2 separate regions of the Mus musculus genome follow, and region 2 is reported to be linked to region 1. The links are microRNA targets in miRTarBase. Many come from high-throughput screens and were not tested one by one. Region 1 holds a microRNA gene; the other region holds the end of a gene's coding sequence.

What was found. The annotated mature microRNA mmu-miR-212-5p reads ACCUUGGCUCUAGACUGCUUACU and lies in region 1 at 2,610-2,632, opposite strand. An mRNA with a match to its seed (bases 2 to 7 or 8) in the 3' UTR can be bound and repressed. Matches are read on the target gene's strand: a 7mer-m8 pairs with bases 2 to 8, a 7mer-A1 pairs with bases 2 to 7 and ends in A, and an 8mer does both.
Region 2: the mRNA of Il27ra is a reported target of mmu-miR-212-5p. Seed matches in the 3' UTR shown: 7mer-A1 at 1,056-1,062, 7mer-m8 at 1,221-1,227 and 7mer-A1 at 1,505-1,511.

The regions. Positions count from the first base shown.
Region 1 is chr11:75,168,920-75,176,034 of GRCm38, reverse strand. Mir212 (microRNA 212) reads right to left here and starts at 2,647; the gene lies at 2,557-2,647. Hic1 (hypermethylated in cancer 1) reads left to right here and starts at 5,780. Exons shown (of 2, transcript NM_010430.2): 1 at 5,780-7,032. The coding sequence starts at 6,516. It overlaps Ovca2 (candidate tumor suppressor in ovarian cancer 2), which reads left to right. Exons shown (of 2, transcript NM_027136.3): 2 at 1-92. It overlaps Mir132 (microRNA 132), which reads right to left and starts at 2,353; the gene lies at 2,288-2,353.
Region 2 is chr8:84,024,826-84,031,933 of GRCm38, reverse strand. Il27ra (interleukin 27 receptor, alpha) reads left to right here. Exons shown (of 14, transcript NM_016671.3): 12 at 325-415; 13 at 513-621; 14 at 742-1,648. The coding sequence ends at 903. It overlaps Palm3 (paralemmin 3), which reads right to left. Exons shown (of 7, transcript NM_028877.1): 3 at 5,660-5,740; 4 at 5,043-5,185; 5 at 4,850-4,934; 6 at 3,763-3,808; 7 at 1,639-3,628. The coding sequence ends at 1,869. Among named protein-coding and RNA genes, the nearest start is that of Palm3, 6.9 kb to the right of the region's middle.

The DNA of each region.
Region 1 (7,115 bases):
CAGTCATAGGCAGCCCCCTGTGTCAGCTCCAAGCTGGGGGACAGGATGACCTGTACTTGGTAGCCCTATAAATAAAGGCAAAGGTTCATGTGAGTGGTCTGTAGGCCCTGGCTCTACCAGGAAAAAGGGAGGAGAGGGTTCAAGCAGAGCTCTATTAGGTGGAACACACAGAAGGGCCCATGTCTGAAGTGAAGAGCCCTCCCAAGAATCAGAACAGTTCCGAGTCCCAACAAGTGGAGAGTTACTTCCCACCATGCGGAATGAACTACCACATGCACATCCCTGGGGGCCACCTACACAAGGAACACTTGTTAAACCTGGAGTTCCTAGAGAAAACTATAGACCTATTTGTCTGCCCCTGGTCATTCCTGATGTAGCTATTTGCAAACTACAGTCTTGGGTAGAATTTTAAGTCTCTGGTAAATATGTGGTATTAGGAAAGAGCCTCTAGTGGGACTCAAAACCCTCTGGGGAGAAAAAGAAGCCCCCTCCCCCCGAGGAATCAATGCTCTAACATTTATGTACAGCCCAGGCGGATAAGGTCCAGAGGTAGAAATAACATTTATTGAGAATTAACTATACCAGACAATGAGACAAATAGAAGCCTGTCATCTAACTTATTTTTGAGACGGGGGTCTCACGGAAGTTCTGGTTATCCTTGAACTCACAGAAATCCACTTATCTCTGTCTCCCAAGATCTGGTATTCAGAGCATGCTCTACCATAGCCTAACTCATTTATTTTTGGTGCTGGGATCAAACCCAGGACCTTAGGCATGCTAAGCACAGACCTACTACTGAGCTCTATGCCCAGCACCCCTGTCCCCCCCCCCCCCCATTGTCTAATTTCATGAAAAAGTACTGTCATTAACCTAATAACTGAGTCTTACAATTGAGGAAACAGGCACAGAAAGGCTAAGTACCTTACTCAAAATTGGATGATTCAGACTCAAAAGCCCCATATTCTTGTCTGTTGTCATCATCCCCCCCCCCTTTGAGACACGAATCTCATATTTATCTCATATTTATTGTCTAGGCTCCTGAGCAACTGGGACTGCAGGTATACACTGCAGCTCCTGGTTTTGGTTGGTCTTTCTGCTGTCCAGTAAAAAGCAAGCAAAAACTACCGCTCTCTATAGGCTAAATGCCCAACCTGGGCTTCTGCTTTCTAATGTGTAAAGTTGGGAAAGAAGGCATGGTTTACACTAAATGTTTTCTAGGACAACGAACACTCAAAGCATTATATAGTCAACCTTCTAACCACATCTTCTGATGGGTTCCATCTGCAAAAGGTCCTCTTTTCTTTTTTTCTTTTTTCTTTTTTTTTTTTTTTTTTTTTTTTTTTTTTTTTTTGGTTTTTTTCGAGACGACAGGGCTTCTCTGTATAGCCCTGGCTGTCCTGGAACTCACTTTGTAGACCAGGCTGGCCTCGAACTCAGAAATCTGCCTGTCTCTGCCTCCCGAGTGCTGGGAATAAAGGCGTGCGCCACCACTGTCCGGCTGTCCTCTTTTCAAATTATCCCTGCTATTTGTTTTCTGCATCTTGATTACACTCAGGATTTCTACCCTATCAGACAGAGTCTCTCAACAGCCCTAGCCACAGAGAGTATTTACGTGCAGTCTCTGTGGTTGTACTCCTTTTGGGGGCACGTTTGAAGATCTCAAGTTGGGATGCATTACTTACAGACCAGTTGAGGGAAGACTGCTGGCTGATACCTTCAGACAATGAATTAGGGGCCAGGTGAATTTCACTAGCCTGCCAGCTTCTTGCTGTGTTAAGGACCCTTTTAATGATGGCCCAGGAGAAAGTTGGGGGACAGAGTTATGGCTCTATCAGGAAAGGGATTCTTTGCCCTTTCCCCTCTACCTGCTCACCTAGGGTTTTCTGGAAGAAAGGTGTGATAAAACTTCCTTCTCCTCCCCCTTCAGCTTTCTGCTGGCAAAAGTGACTTCTTCCTTCTCACAGGACTCCTGATCCCATCGGTTCACCACTCATGAGATAAGAATCCTTATCGCAGAACCACCCATTTTCTCGCCACCTTAGGCAGCGATACCTCGACTAGGAAGACAGGAGAGTCTCTGAGGAGGATGTTCAGACACTCCGCGGATCTTGCTTCTGCACCGAGGTAGATGCACAGCAGCCTGAAAGGCCGCCTTTCTGAGCACACCTCTTGCCACCTCCGCAGACACATCGAATGTTGCGTCGCCGCCCCGCCTCCTCTTGCTCTGTATCTGCCCAAACCCAGGCTGGCAGAACTCGGGAGTGGTGGGGAGCGTGGGCGTGCTGCGGGGCGACCATGGCTGTAGACTGTTACCTCCGGTTCCCACAGTAACAATCGAAAGCCACGGTTGCCCTGGAGACGCGGGGGCGGGGCTTGCAGGCTGACGTCAGCACCGCGGGCGGCGGGGGTGGCGCGAGTGTCTGCGGGGCCTGCGCCCACCGCAACCCACAGGGACCTTGAACAGGCGTGCCCGAGGGAGGCGCTTGCACTGCATCAGCACCGCGGACAGCGGCGCAGGGAGGCGTGGAGGGGCCGGGGGTCGGCGGTCCTGGGGCGGGGCCAGGCGTCGGTGGCCGTGACTGGAGACTGTTACTGAAGGCGGCCCGGGCAGTAAGCAGTCTAGAGCCAAGGTGCCGGCGCGCTGCCCGGGCGGGGATATCCCGTCGCCCGCAGTTGAGAGTGCTGCTGCTTCTCAGGCCCCCCCACCTCCTCCCAAGCGCGCGCGGACAGACACGCGACCGTGACGTCAGAGTCCTGTGACGTCAAAGATGTCCCAGCGGGGAGGCATTTCCGGCGGTGGGGAGCGGTGGGGGTAGGGCGGGGCGGCCTGATCGAAGCCCCGCCCCCGCCTGGTCCTGAGAGGACAGCTCCGCTTGCAGAGGCGGGAAGTCCTGAGCTCAGTGGGACAGTCCGATGGGACGGGACGGGACCGGACGGGAAGGGACGGGACAGGGAAGGGGCGTGTGTGGAGCATGCAGGACGGGGGTCCCAAGAAAGCCGCAGGGCCGAGGTGTGCGTCTGTCTGTCGTGGGCGCCCTGGCTCAGTCAGTCGGGGCCATCTAGGCTGAGTCACCGCTCTGCGGACAGGGGAGAAATGAGGGGGCGCGTCTCCTGAGACGCCAGCACCTTCTCCCCACTTTCTTGAAAGGATGGCGCAGGAGCTGCTCAGCCTCGGGAAATGGGGTCGGGGGCTCGGCTCTCCGCTTGATGTTTCTCCATAGTGTCTGCGTCTGCATTTGGGTGCCGGCAGGTGCTGCATAGGGTTGGGTCAGCCGCCGGCCCCTGGTCCACCAAGCTGAAAGGAACCTTCGTCCCTCCCACTCTGCCCCCCATCCTCACTCCGGAGTCCCCCTCCAACCCGCCGCCCCTCCGGTCCCCTCCTCGCCTTCCCATGGCGTCCGCGCATCTGCCCATCTCCGACTGTTGGTGGTCCTTACCTGTCGGGCCGCGTCGCACCAGTGCCGGCTTGCCTCCCGCAGCCCGGCCGGCGCCGCCGCTTTTATAGGCGCGCGTAGTACTCGTGCGGCGGCTCATTCATGCGGCCGCGGCTCCTACACACTGACGCGCTGCCGACGTCAGCAGAGAATTTAGGAAACGGGAAAAGAGGCTATTTATAGTGGCAAGCGGGGAGGGGGGGCGTAGGGGAGGGCGGGACGAAGCGACAGGGAGTTGGAGCGGGAGGAGGGTGCGCACGCGGAAGCAGGGTTGGGTAGGGGAGTACGTAACCCCAGGCTTGGCCTCCAAGGGGTTAACTTTCCGGAACTGCAGGCGACGGGCTGGGGGAGAATAGTGCAGGGAGGGTGAGGCCCCGTTCTGTGTTTATTCACTCTCCCCTTCCGGGGCTTTGCGAGTCCTAGGATCTCAGTTCTTTTCTCCTGGACCGCAGGGGTCCTCCCTTGGCAGCCCCAAACCACACTGCTCATTCCCTAGACCCTACAGTCCTCTGACGCCAGAAGATGCCCCGCGATGGTATCACTCCCATTTGGCCACCGTGGTATCCTCGCTCTCTCCTGGTGTGTGTGTGGGGGGGGGGTGGGGGGTGAGGCAAGAAACTGGACCGGTTTAGGAGGGGAGTAGAGTGCACCTCGGACTTTGACATCTAGGAGCTGGGGAAAGAGGGGTGGAGAAGCCTGGGAGTTTTGGAAGGCTTCTTGACTGGGTCACAGGAGGAAAGGTACCGGTCAGATGGTGGAAACCGCAGAGAAGATCAGGGAGTCTAAGGAGAGTGGTCTGGACTTTAGAAATGAGCAGAAGATCTTCTGTAAGAGTTTGGAAAATCCCTGTACGGAGTATCCACAAAAGGAAGGGCTAGCCTGACAAGTACTGGAGAGCCAACTTGGCAGTGCCCCAGGGGGCACGAGGGGGCCACCTCAGTGGGGTGGAATAGGCATAGGCAGAGCCTGTAAGAGAGAAAATGAGACTAAGGGGGCTCAATAGCTTGGCAGAGGGTGTGTGTAGCTGGGACTCCTTTCTAAAGGAGTCAGAATAGACTAAAGGCAAATACGATATGGAACAGGTCCTCCAAAACAGCCCGATTCTGTCTCCGGGCTCTAAATGGGGTCGTCATGCGTTCACGGAGAGGAGGAAGCTGCACCAGGATGACCAGAGGAGCTCAGGAAGAAGGGGAAAGCAAAGTTAAGAGGAGGGGCATGGTGGTGCGCATCCTTGTACGTGGGAAGTAGACGCCTTTGTGAGTTCGAGGCTAGCCGTAGACTTGAAACTGTGGTGGTGGTGGTGGTGGGGCGTGGAGGAGAGGAGAGGAGAGAAGGGGAGGGGAGGGGAGGGGAGTACACAGTGAAACTTGGGCAAGGTTTATGTGGTTGGCCCCATAGCGATACAACAAGGGCTTGAGTCGGTGGAGAGGGATAGAACAAGAAGGAACTGAAGACCCAGCCGACCTCCTTATGGGTCAACCAGCGGATAAACTCCATTGTGTAAAACACATACAGAGCTTTCTCTCCAGACTCGCACGATCTAACCCCATTAAAAGGAGAAAACATTTAAAACAGAGACATCAGAGACACCCTTGCTTGTGGGAGAACTCAGAGTTGTCAAAACTCATCCCTAAGAGCACTTCTGGGGAGCCTTCTTATCCTCAAACGCTCCGTTACACTTCCGCTTCAGCCCCAAGGCGTATCCCTCGACAGAGATACCAAGGTACCTCTTCACTTCTCCTAGAGCTCAGAAATTGTGGAGTCCACCGTGGGACTGCAGTGTTTGTCTTGTATGGACACTGTACGGAGATACGAAGTAGTAAGTGGATTAGATGGAGGCGGAGCACACTGTCGCGGAAACCTGGTGAGCCTTGAAGACTCTTTGGACCAGAAGCCTAGGCCAGGCATAGAAGTCTCCTGCCAAAGAAACGCAGCCTCTAGGAGGCGCCCAAGACCTTGGTGTCTCACTGGTACAGCTAGAGGCCCGGCCGGCTGCCCCGGGCGAGTGACTCAGCCACTACCTCAAGCGGGGGAGTGGGGGCTCGAAGACAGCGTGGGGTGCGGCGAGCGTAGCCCCCACCCGCCCTGCGCCCCGCGCGGTTGCTAAGCTCTCCAAGGCCTCTGAGAGATGAGATCCCGGGAACCTCATTGGTTACCATAGTAACTCTGAGCCCCAGCCTCTCCGGCTTGGCCACGGAGGATGGCGCAGCCAATAAGAAGCTGTGGGCGGTTTGGGGGGACCCCCCCTATAGCGTGGGCGGGGGTCAGGAGGTGCGGGGAAGAGGCGGAGCGTGGGCCACGGAGGCGCGGTGCTTGCAACGGTGCTTATGCCTCCGCCCCGCTATGCAGGGACATTTCCGGTGAGCACCCAAGAGCTGGTGCACGCTCCCCTCCCTCCTAAAAGAGGAGTCACCAACATGAATGAGCTCTCCCTTGTGTGGCGTGTAGGATCTTTTTTTGAGGGGGTCTCAAGCCGCCCGTTCTCGTGATATCTCTCGAATGGTGTATTGGGGGGGGGCAAACTAAGATCCCTCAAAACTGCTTAGATGGGGGATTGGGGACTTGAGGGGCACGTCGCAAGGGGGCTCTGTCCAGCTATTTCCAATGGAGGGCTCTAGGGTCCTTCTGGAGACCCGCAAGTTCGGGGAGGGCTCTTTGGTAGGACCTCTACCCCGTTTCACGTAGTAGCCTCCGCAGTAGCCCAAGAAGTTGGGACTCCGGGAGGGGGTGGGCGGTCTGTGTAAACATGGCGCGCCCTTGTCACTGCTTGGACAGAGTTTGAGTGTGGACGGTTTATGATGTGCATACTGATAACATGTGTCTGAGGGAGAGTTGGAATGTGTCTCTCTCCACTGAGTCCAAGTGAATAATGGTGTTCAGAAATGTCTAATAAAAGCCGCCCCGCTCCTGCTCCGAACGTATGTACCTTCATCTCACTTAGGATTTCTAAGCTCGCCCTCTCACAGAATACTGTTCGTAGTGTTCCACCCCAACCCCTTTTCTAAGATAGGGTCTCAGGTAGTAGAGGCTGACCTTGAACTCCTGGTCCTCTTGCTTCCAACTCCTGGGTGCTATGCTAGGATGATTACAAGAATGCGCCACCATCCCTGGCTTAAGAGTTCCTCATTTGAAGACAGAACCTTCCCCTCCCCCCCCCCGAATTGGCGCGATATAACATATAAATATGTACTCGGGAGCACTCAGCACAAAACCCCCAGGTTTATGGGACTCCCAGGTCCGATATCTGAGTCTCCAGGTGGGCACATCTGGAAGCGCGCGAACCTGCAAGATCTGCTCAGCTCCGCATCTGCAAGCCTCTTGGCCCAGGTGTGCGCCAGAGGTCGCAGCCCAGCCGCACACAGTCCCCGCGTGGCCGCGAGGTGGCGCCATGGCCGCGGCAGCGTCTGCCGGTTCGGGCCGCTCCAGATAAGAGTGTGCGGAAAGCGCGGAGGGGCTGAGACGCGACCAGGACGCGGGGAGGACGGACCGGCAAGACAGACCGACCGGGGGCCCGGCGGGCGGAGGGCAGCGCACTGCAGCCACGTCCCCCCCTGGATCCGCCGGCAGCCGGGCCCGGGGCTTCCGACATGCCCCCCAGGTGGGTCCTCGAGTTGGCGACAGGGAAGGGCAAGGGACCCGGGACAATCTGGTCCTCGTGCGCCGGCTACCTCGGGAGCATCC
Region 2 (7,108 bases), not on the chromosome of region 1:
TAAGCTCCTGATGGAGAGGATTAGGATGGAACGCAGGACCACACCCCAGGTCTGCTTCTGCTAAATGCCATTGCAGTATCCAACACTGTATGTCTAAAACAGCTGCACTCCCAACCTTGGCTTTGCCTGTCAGCACACTCCTGTGCCCTAAGTCTCACCCCTTCTTCATGATGGTTGGACCCTCTGCCCCACCCACTGAAAAGCCCAGTCTTTCTTGAGGATAGCCATATCTTCAACCCCATCCACTCAAAAGCCTCTCCCATTCACAGACCCCTTGTTCAAGATGGCTGTCTACTTAGTGCCAACTATTCTCCTTACCCACAGATAATAGGATCAGGTGGAAAGCTCTGCCCTGGTTTCTGTCCCTGTGGGGTTTGCTTCTGATGGGCTGTGGCCTGAGCCTGGCCAGTACCAGGTAAGGCTTCCAGACATGGGCTTTGGCAGCTAGGCCTTGGCTGGGTGGCCTCAGGGCTCAGAAAGTTCATGGATTCTAGCAATATGTTTGCCACCAGGTGCCTACAGGCCAGGTGCTTACACTGGCGGCACAAGTTGCTTCCCCAGTGGATCTGGGAGAGGGTTCCTGATCCTGCCAACAGCAATTCTGGGCAACCTTACATCAAGGTGAGAAAACGGCACCCCTGGGAGCACCACTCTCTAACTGGGAGCACCACTCTCCAACTGGAGGATGCTGGGGCAAGTGGGAGGGGAGGAGCACTGAGTTTCAAGCTTCCATCTCCCCAGGAGGTGAGCCTGCCCCAACCGCCCAAGGACGGACCCATCCTGGAGGTGGAGGAAGTGGAGCTACAGCCTGTTGTGGAGTCCCCTAAAGCCTCTGCCCCAATTTACTCTGGGTATGAGAAACACTTCCTGCCCACACCAGAGGAGCTGGGCCTTCTAGTCTGATCTGCTTACGGCTAGGGGCTGTACCCCTATCTTGGGCTAGACGTTTTTGTATTTTTAGATTTTTGAGACAGGATCTCACTATGGCTGGCCTGGAACTTGATATAACAACCAGGCTGGCCTGGAACTCACCAAGACTCACCTGGTTTTGCCTTCCAAGGACTGAGAAGAAATGAGTGTGCCGCCTCCCGCCCAACCAGCTTTTGCTTTCCTTGCCTCTGGGTCTTGGGCATCTGTTTGTTACTGCAGAAGAATCAGTGAGCTCACAGCCTCAACCCCATCGTTGTTATTTCCTCCTTGTGTCACAGGCTTGCTAGGTAGCCAAGGCTGGCCTCGAACTTGTGATCCTCCCTGCTGCAGCATCCCCAGAGCTGGGATTACAGGTGTGCGTCACTTCATCGAGTCATAACTTTTGATTCTAGTAAGAATAACTACCAGGCAGGCTATGAGGTGGTGACTCGAAAGACACATTCAAGGGCCTGAAGTGGTTAAGAGCCTGTGTTTTCTTGCAGTAGACCAAAGTTTGGTTCCCTGCCCTTGCAAAGGACACACGTTCAGTTTCCAGCACCCACAGGGCAGCTCAGAATCACCTGTAACTCCAGGTCCAAGGAATCCAATGCCCTCTTCTGGCTTCTGTGAGCCCTGCACACACATGGTTACTTATGCACCGAAAAACACACGCATAAAATAAAAATAAATAAATAAATAAAAATAAATTAATAAATAAATCTTTTTTTTCTTAAAGCCAGAGTGCCTTAACATTTAATTTTCAAGTATAAAGGCTTCATTGCAGAAGGGAGTCAGGGCCACAGGCAGTGGGCAGGGAATCTAAAAGCACAGGGCCCTCCGGCTCCTGGGTGCCACTACCAGTCCTGTGGTACCCTGTCTATGCCTGGGACCTTCTGCTGGGTGCCAGGCAGCGAGGTAGCTGTGAGAGGAGGAGTGGGGTGCTGGCGGCAGGCGTAGGCTCACATGACCACACAACACTGGCACGTCTTCTGCTTGGGACCACTAGCTTCTTTGGCCTCAGCCAGCTCAAGCTGCTGGGCAGGGGCATACGTAGGTGCAGGGTGGTCACCAGGGTTAGTGCTGGACGCTTCCTGATGGAGCAGTGGCTGGCTTTCCACAGGCTGCTCCGGGGCTGGGGTCTCAGCTAGGAGCAGGGTAGCATCCCCTGGGGGACCCTCTCGCTCAGTACAGGGCTCAGGCTTACTGGCTGCCCCTTCTACCAGGCCTTCTTGCTTCTCTGGTTCTTGCTGTCCTTGCTCCTCTGACCTGGGCTCGTCCTGGACACAAACAGTGGCTCCTGGTGGGCTGGCATCCTCCGCCTGGAACTCTGCTCCTTCGTTGGCTTTGCCTTGCTCTTCTGGACTCACATCATCCTTGGCGCCTGAGGTCTTGTCCACCTCAGAGAATGGCTCGATGCCATCTGCCTCCCTGTCCAATAGTTTCTTACTTCCTTCAGCTTCTTCATCCAATGAGCCCTCACCTCCTGTCTTCTCATCTAATAGTTTCTTGCTTCCTTTAGTTTCATCCAATGAGCTCTTATCTCCTATCTCTCCATCCAATAGTATCTCAGTTGTTTTTGATTCTCTGTCCAATGAGCCCTCACCATCTTTCTCCTGGTCCAATGGCATCTCACTTCCTTTTCTCTCTGTCTCCAGTGAGCCCTCTGGCTTTTTTTCTGTCACCAATGGCTTCTCAGTGGTGACCGGCTCTGCCTCACCTCCCTTTTCTACTTCCAACGACTCTTCACCTTCCGTCGTTTTCACCTCCCACTTTTCCTCATCTGTTGCTATCTCTGCTGGAAAGGGGCCCTCACTGTCTTTTCTCTCTACCTTTTCTGCCTCGTTTTCCTCTCTTCCCTGGGTCTCATCTGGCAGCACAGCTACACCATCCTCCCTCTCTGCCCCGAGCTTTTCTGCCCTTCCCTTCTCTTCTATGCCCTCAACTTTCTCTACTTCTCTCTTCTCTACCTCCCAGGACGCTTCACCTCCTCTGGGCTGTGCTCCAATCAAAGCCTCAGGTTCTCCTGCAGACCCTGCCCCCTGCGGTGCTTCCAAACCCTCCATCAAAATCTCCTCCCAGTCTTCGCTGAGGGCCACTCTCTCCACCCAAATGAAGGATCCCTCCTCTACTCCAGGACCTCCCTGCCCAACACCCTCAAGACTATCTCTGGAAGCACCTTCTTCTTTTCTGCAAGTTTCAGCCTCAAATTGCTCCTGGAGTCTCCTGGAACTGGTGTGTGTGGCCTCTGCATCCCTGCCTGACTCCCCTGTGACATCAAGATCCCTGCCTCCCAGCCCCTCCCAGACCACTTCCACTACACCCCTGCCCTCCTTCACCCAAGTGGGGAGCTCAGGGCTGCTGGTGCCCTGCCTGGCCCCAATGGCCTCCAGAACCACTTCTTCCACCTTAGCCTCCAGCTCCACATCTGTGGGGCCTGTGGCACTGTTCTCAGTGGCTCTAAGCCCAGCCCAAACCACCTCCACTGCACCATCTCCTTTGGCCTTAGTGACACTCGACACCCCTAGACTCAGCTGCTCTGGGAGAGGGCTGTGCCCAGGGCAGGGGCCATTGGCTTCTGAAGATGTCCCTATAGCTTCAGTGGATGGCCTCGAGGCTGGTAGAACCGCAATCGACTCCTCCCTGGGATCAGAAGGAGACTCAGGGGACATGCCCACTGGAGCATCTGGCAGGGAAGTTCGCTTGTCCACATCAGTCGGGGCTGGGGGAATCAAGGGAGGACGGGACAGGGAGGTCAGGATGATGGGGGAATAACAGGACCCTTACCCCAGATTCTTTTGAGTCACATGATCTGGTGGTGACGGTACCCCAGGTCTTGGGGACTCCAATGCTTACCGGTAGGAGCTGCTTCCATGGCAGACTGAGAGAGAGGACGGGGACCCTGCAAGGAGAATAGAGACAAGGTCAAAATTGGTCCCAGGTTGTACTTCCCAGGTATGTTTGTGCCCCACCCGCTTAAACAGTATATCATGTTAGTGCTTGCATGGACAGCTTCTGAGGTGACTATAAAGTATATCATGTTAACAGTATATCATGTTAGTGCTTGCGTGGACAGCTTCTGAGGTGAGTATAAAGTATTTGGGGGAAGGAATACTTGGGATGGAACCCAAGCCCTGGGCCACACTAGGTTATTGCAATATTGCTGTTGAACCACATCCTCAACCTGTAAAGACCTGATGCAATCAGACTTTAAGTTCCAATGGGAGGAGGTAAGTAATAGACATAACAACAAATAAATAAGCCGCGTTTGCAAATAGTTAAGGGGAGAGAACAAAGCGGTGAAAAGGAAGAGAGGTCTAGGGTGAGGAGGTTTCCCCTAGAGACTGAGCTGGGCGTGGCTTCAAGAGGCTTGCCGAGAAGGGTGTGCCCTGTCCAGAGTGCTGAGTTGGAGACCATTGTTCGAGGCTAAGGCTACAGTACTGCCCGGGTGAGCCAGACGTTAAAGGGAATAATAGAAGAGAGACAATGTGGCCAGCGTGGAGTGAAGGAAAGATGTGAAGAAAGACGATGGGGCAGCTGCACACACCTGTATTCACACACCTGCATGCACACTAAGTCCCTTTGTGATCAAGGCTTGGTGGTAGGAACCGGTAATCCTACCACAAGGAAAGCTGAAGCAGGGAGATCACGAGTTCAAGGTCGCGGGCTTCGAGATTGGGCTAATTGCTTTCAATTATAATCTCACTGGCCCTTCCAAAGGCACTTCTGAGTTGGTATTCCTACTTTAGGGATGAGCAAACTAAGATCTAGCCAAGACAACCAACTTGCACAGAACACAGAACAAAGTAACAGTGAGTGGGTTTGCCTACCATTCTCTACCAAGGCAGAGGCTGCGTTTTGAGAGAGCACATTTCCGCTGTGTCCTGTTCTAACCCTGCTGACCACAGCCCCCTCCTCTCCACCTCTTTCAGGCCCTGCTCACCTCTCTGCGCCAGGCGGGCCTACCAGCAGGTCTGTGTTGAGCACCTGTGGACGCACTTTGCAACAGCTGTAGCTGTGACTGGAGTCTGAGGGAGAAAGGAGGCTGCTGGAAGCCGGAATGGACCAAACCTGCTCCATTTCTTAGAGCTGCTAAAGGCTGGGGCATGGCTCAAAATCAGGGATTCTCAACTCACGAAAACAAACTGTCTTCCAGGTTGCGAATTCGAGCCTGGGCCTGTCCCTCAGGCGACTGTGGGTCCTTGGAGGCGGGTTCCTCCGGCCGTTCTGGCCCTTCAGCTGCCCCGTCCATGAGCCAACGTTCTCGGAGAGATTTCCTCTGGGTATGGAACGAGAGTCCGGGACTAGCCACAGGAAGCCTACCTCCCCACCCATTGCTTGCAACCACCCAGAGGGCGCATCCATCAGGATGGGAGACATGTCCATATCTCGTACCCCAACACCATGCCAGCATACAGCCTTCCCAAGCAGAGGCATGCAACCATTATCCTTCCAGCCTGCCCAGTCGACTGGCTCTGCTAGGCTCGGAAAGACCTCTCAATGTGCCCCTCTCCACCCCAACGTTGGCCTCAGGTTCCTCTCATCACCACCAAACTGGGATGAAGCTCACCACCATCCTCCACCCCCGCCCCCCATACTCTTCCAGAGTGGGACAGCTGTCTCCATGGCTACCTTTCGCCTGCCTCCTCTCCATCTCCCCCTTCCCAAATTAGTCAGAGGTTCCTATTGTCTTTCAGCCGGACTCACACAGACACCCCACTTCACTTCCCCGGACTGGATAGGAGCCCCCAACCTTGAGCCGCTCCACGCGGAGTTTCTCCTCCTCCAGCTCGCGACGCGCGGCGCCGATCTCCTCCTGCAGCCGCCGCTTCTCCTGCGCACACACGACCCAGAGCTGCGGGCTAGTCCAGGGCCGCCCTCCGCCCGCCTCCTCGGGGCTCCCGGGACTCCCGGGGCGTCCTCCCGCGGGCGGGGGCTGCAGAGCGCTGACTCAGCAGCGAGAGGGGCGGGGCGGGGCAGGACCAGGCGGCCGCGCCCTCATGCTGCGGAAGCCAGGCCCACGCCCAATGGTGGTCCGCAAATGGGGGCGTGGAGGCGGGGCCTAGAGATGGGGACTAGGGTTTTGCACTTCTAAGATAGGAAGGAGAATGGCCAGGCGAGGCGAACGCGCTTGGTAACCCCAAGACTCAGTAGGACGATCTCCATGAGTTCCAGGCCAGCTTGGACTAGAAAGGGAGTAGCCAATTAGAGGCTACTTTGGGCTACAGAAACCCTGCTGGGAAAAAAAAAATCGTTAAAAAGGGGGGGGGGGGTCAGGGATGTGTTGATCTAGATAAAGAGAAGGTGCTAGCGAGATGGAGTCCAAAATGGGGGTGCAGAGGTAGACATCCAGAGAGATTCAGGCATATATAGAGGTAACGCAGAGATAGGGTACAAAGATATGCAGTAAATCAGGGCGCAGGTTGTGTTGAAAGACATGACCTTCCAAGGTGATTGTGCAGGGTACCCAAGAGCACTGCTTAACGTTGAGGTGCTGAAGAGAGACCAGAAAAAATGGGAATGGGGAGGTGGAGAAGTTAGAAAGGTGGGCTACAAAAGAAAGGGTTAGAAAAAGGAGGTTACAACAGGTGATCCGAGACTTAGGGAACAGGGGCAATTCAGGGTCGAGGTACAGAAGTGGCTACAGAAAGGTGGGTTGCTAAGAGTGCCAAAAGAGGAGGTACAGACCATGGAAGCCAGAGAAACGGAGCACAAAGGCGGGGGAGAATAAGAGGGGCAGGTGCAGAGTGGTGGAGTCAGGGTTCAGAGGTGAGGTCTAGAAATGGGTTCTAGAAAGGGTTCTGGAGTGTGGGGGTGTAGAAATATAGAATGCAAAGCATGTTTGGAGAATAGAGATGCATTAGTGGTAGTCAGAAATATGGAGTTCAAAGATGAAGGTGCCAAGAGCTGAGGTCTTCCGGAAGTAGGCTAGTGAGGAAAGGGGTGCAGAGAGGGCAGTCAGAGAAACGGGAGCAGAGGTAAGAGGCACACAGGTAAACAAGAGTAATGGAGGAGAGAGGGGGCCAGAAGGACAGTCTCACAAGGGTTCCCTCAGGGAGGACTCCAAGGGTGGGGTACAAGAAACAGAGATCTGAGCTGGGCGTGGTGGCGCACGCCTTTAATCCCAGCACTCACTCGGGAGGCAGAGGCAGGCGGATTTCTGAGTTCGAGGCCAGCCTGGTCTACAAAGTGAGCTCCAGGA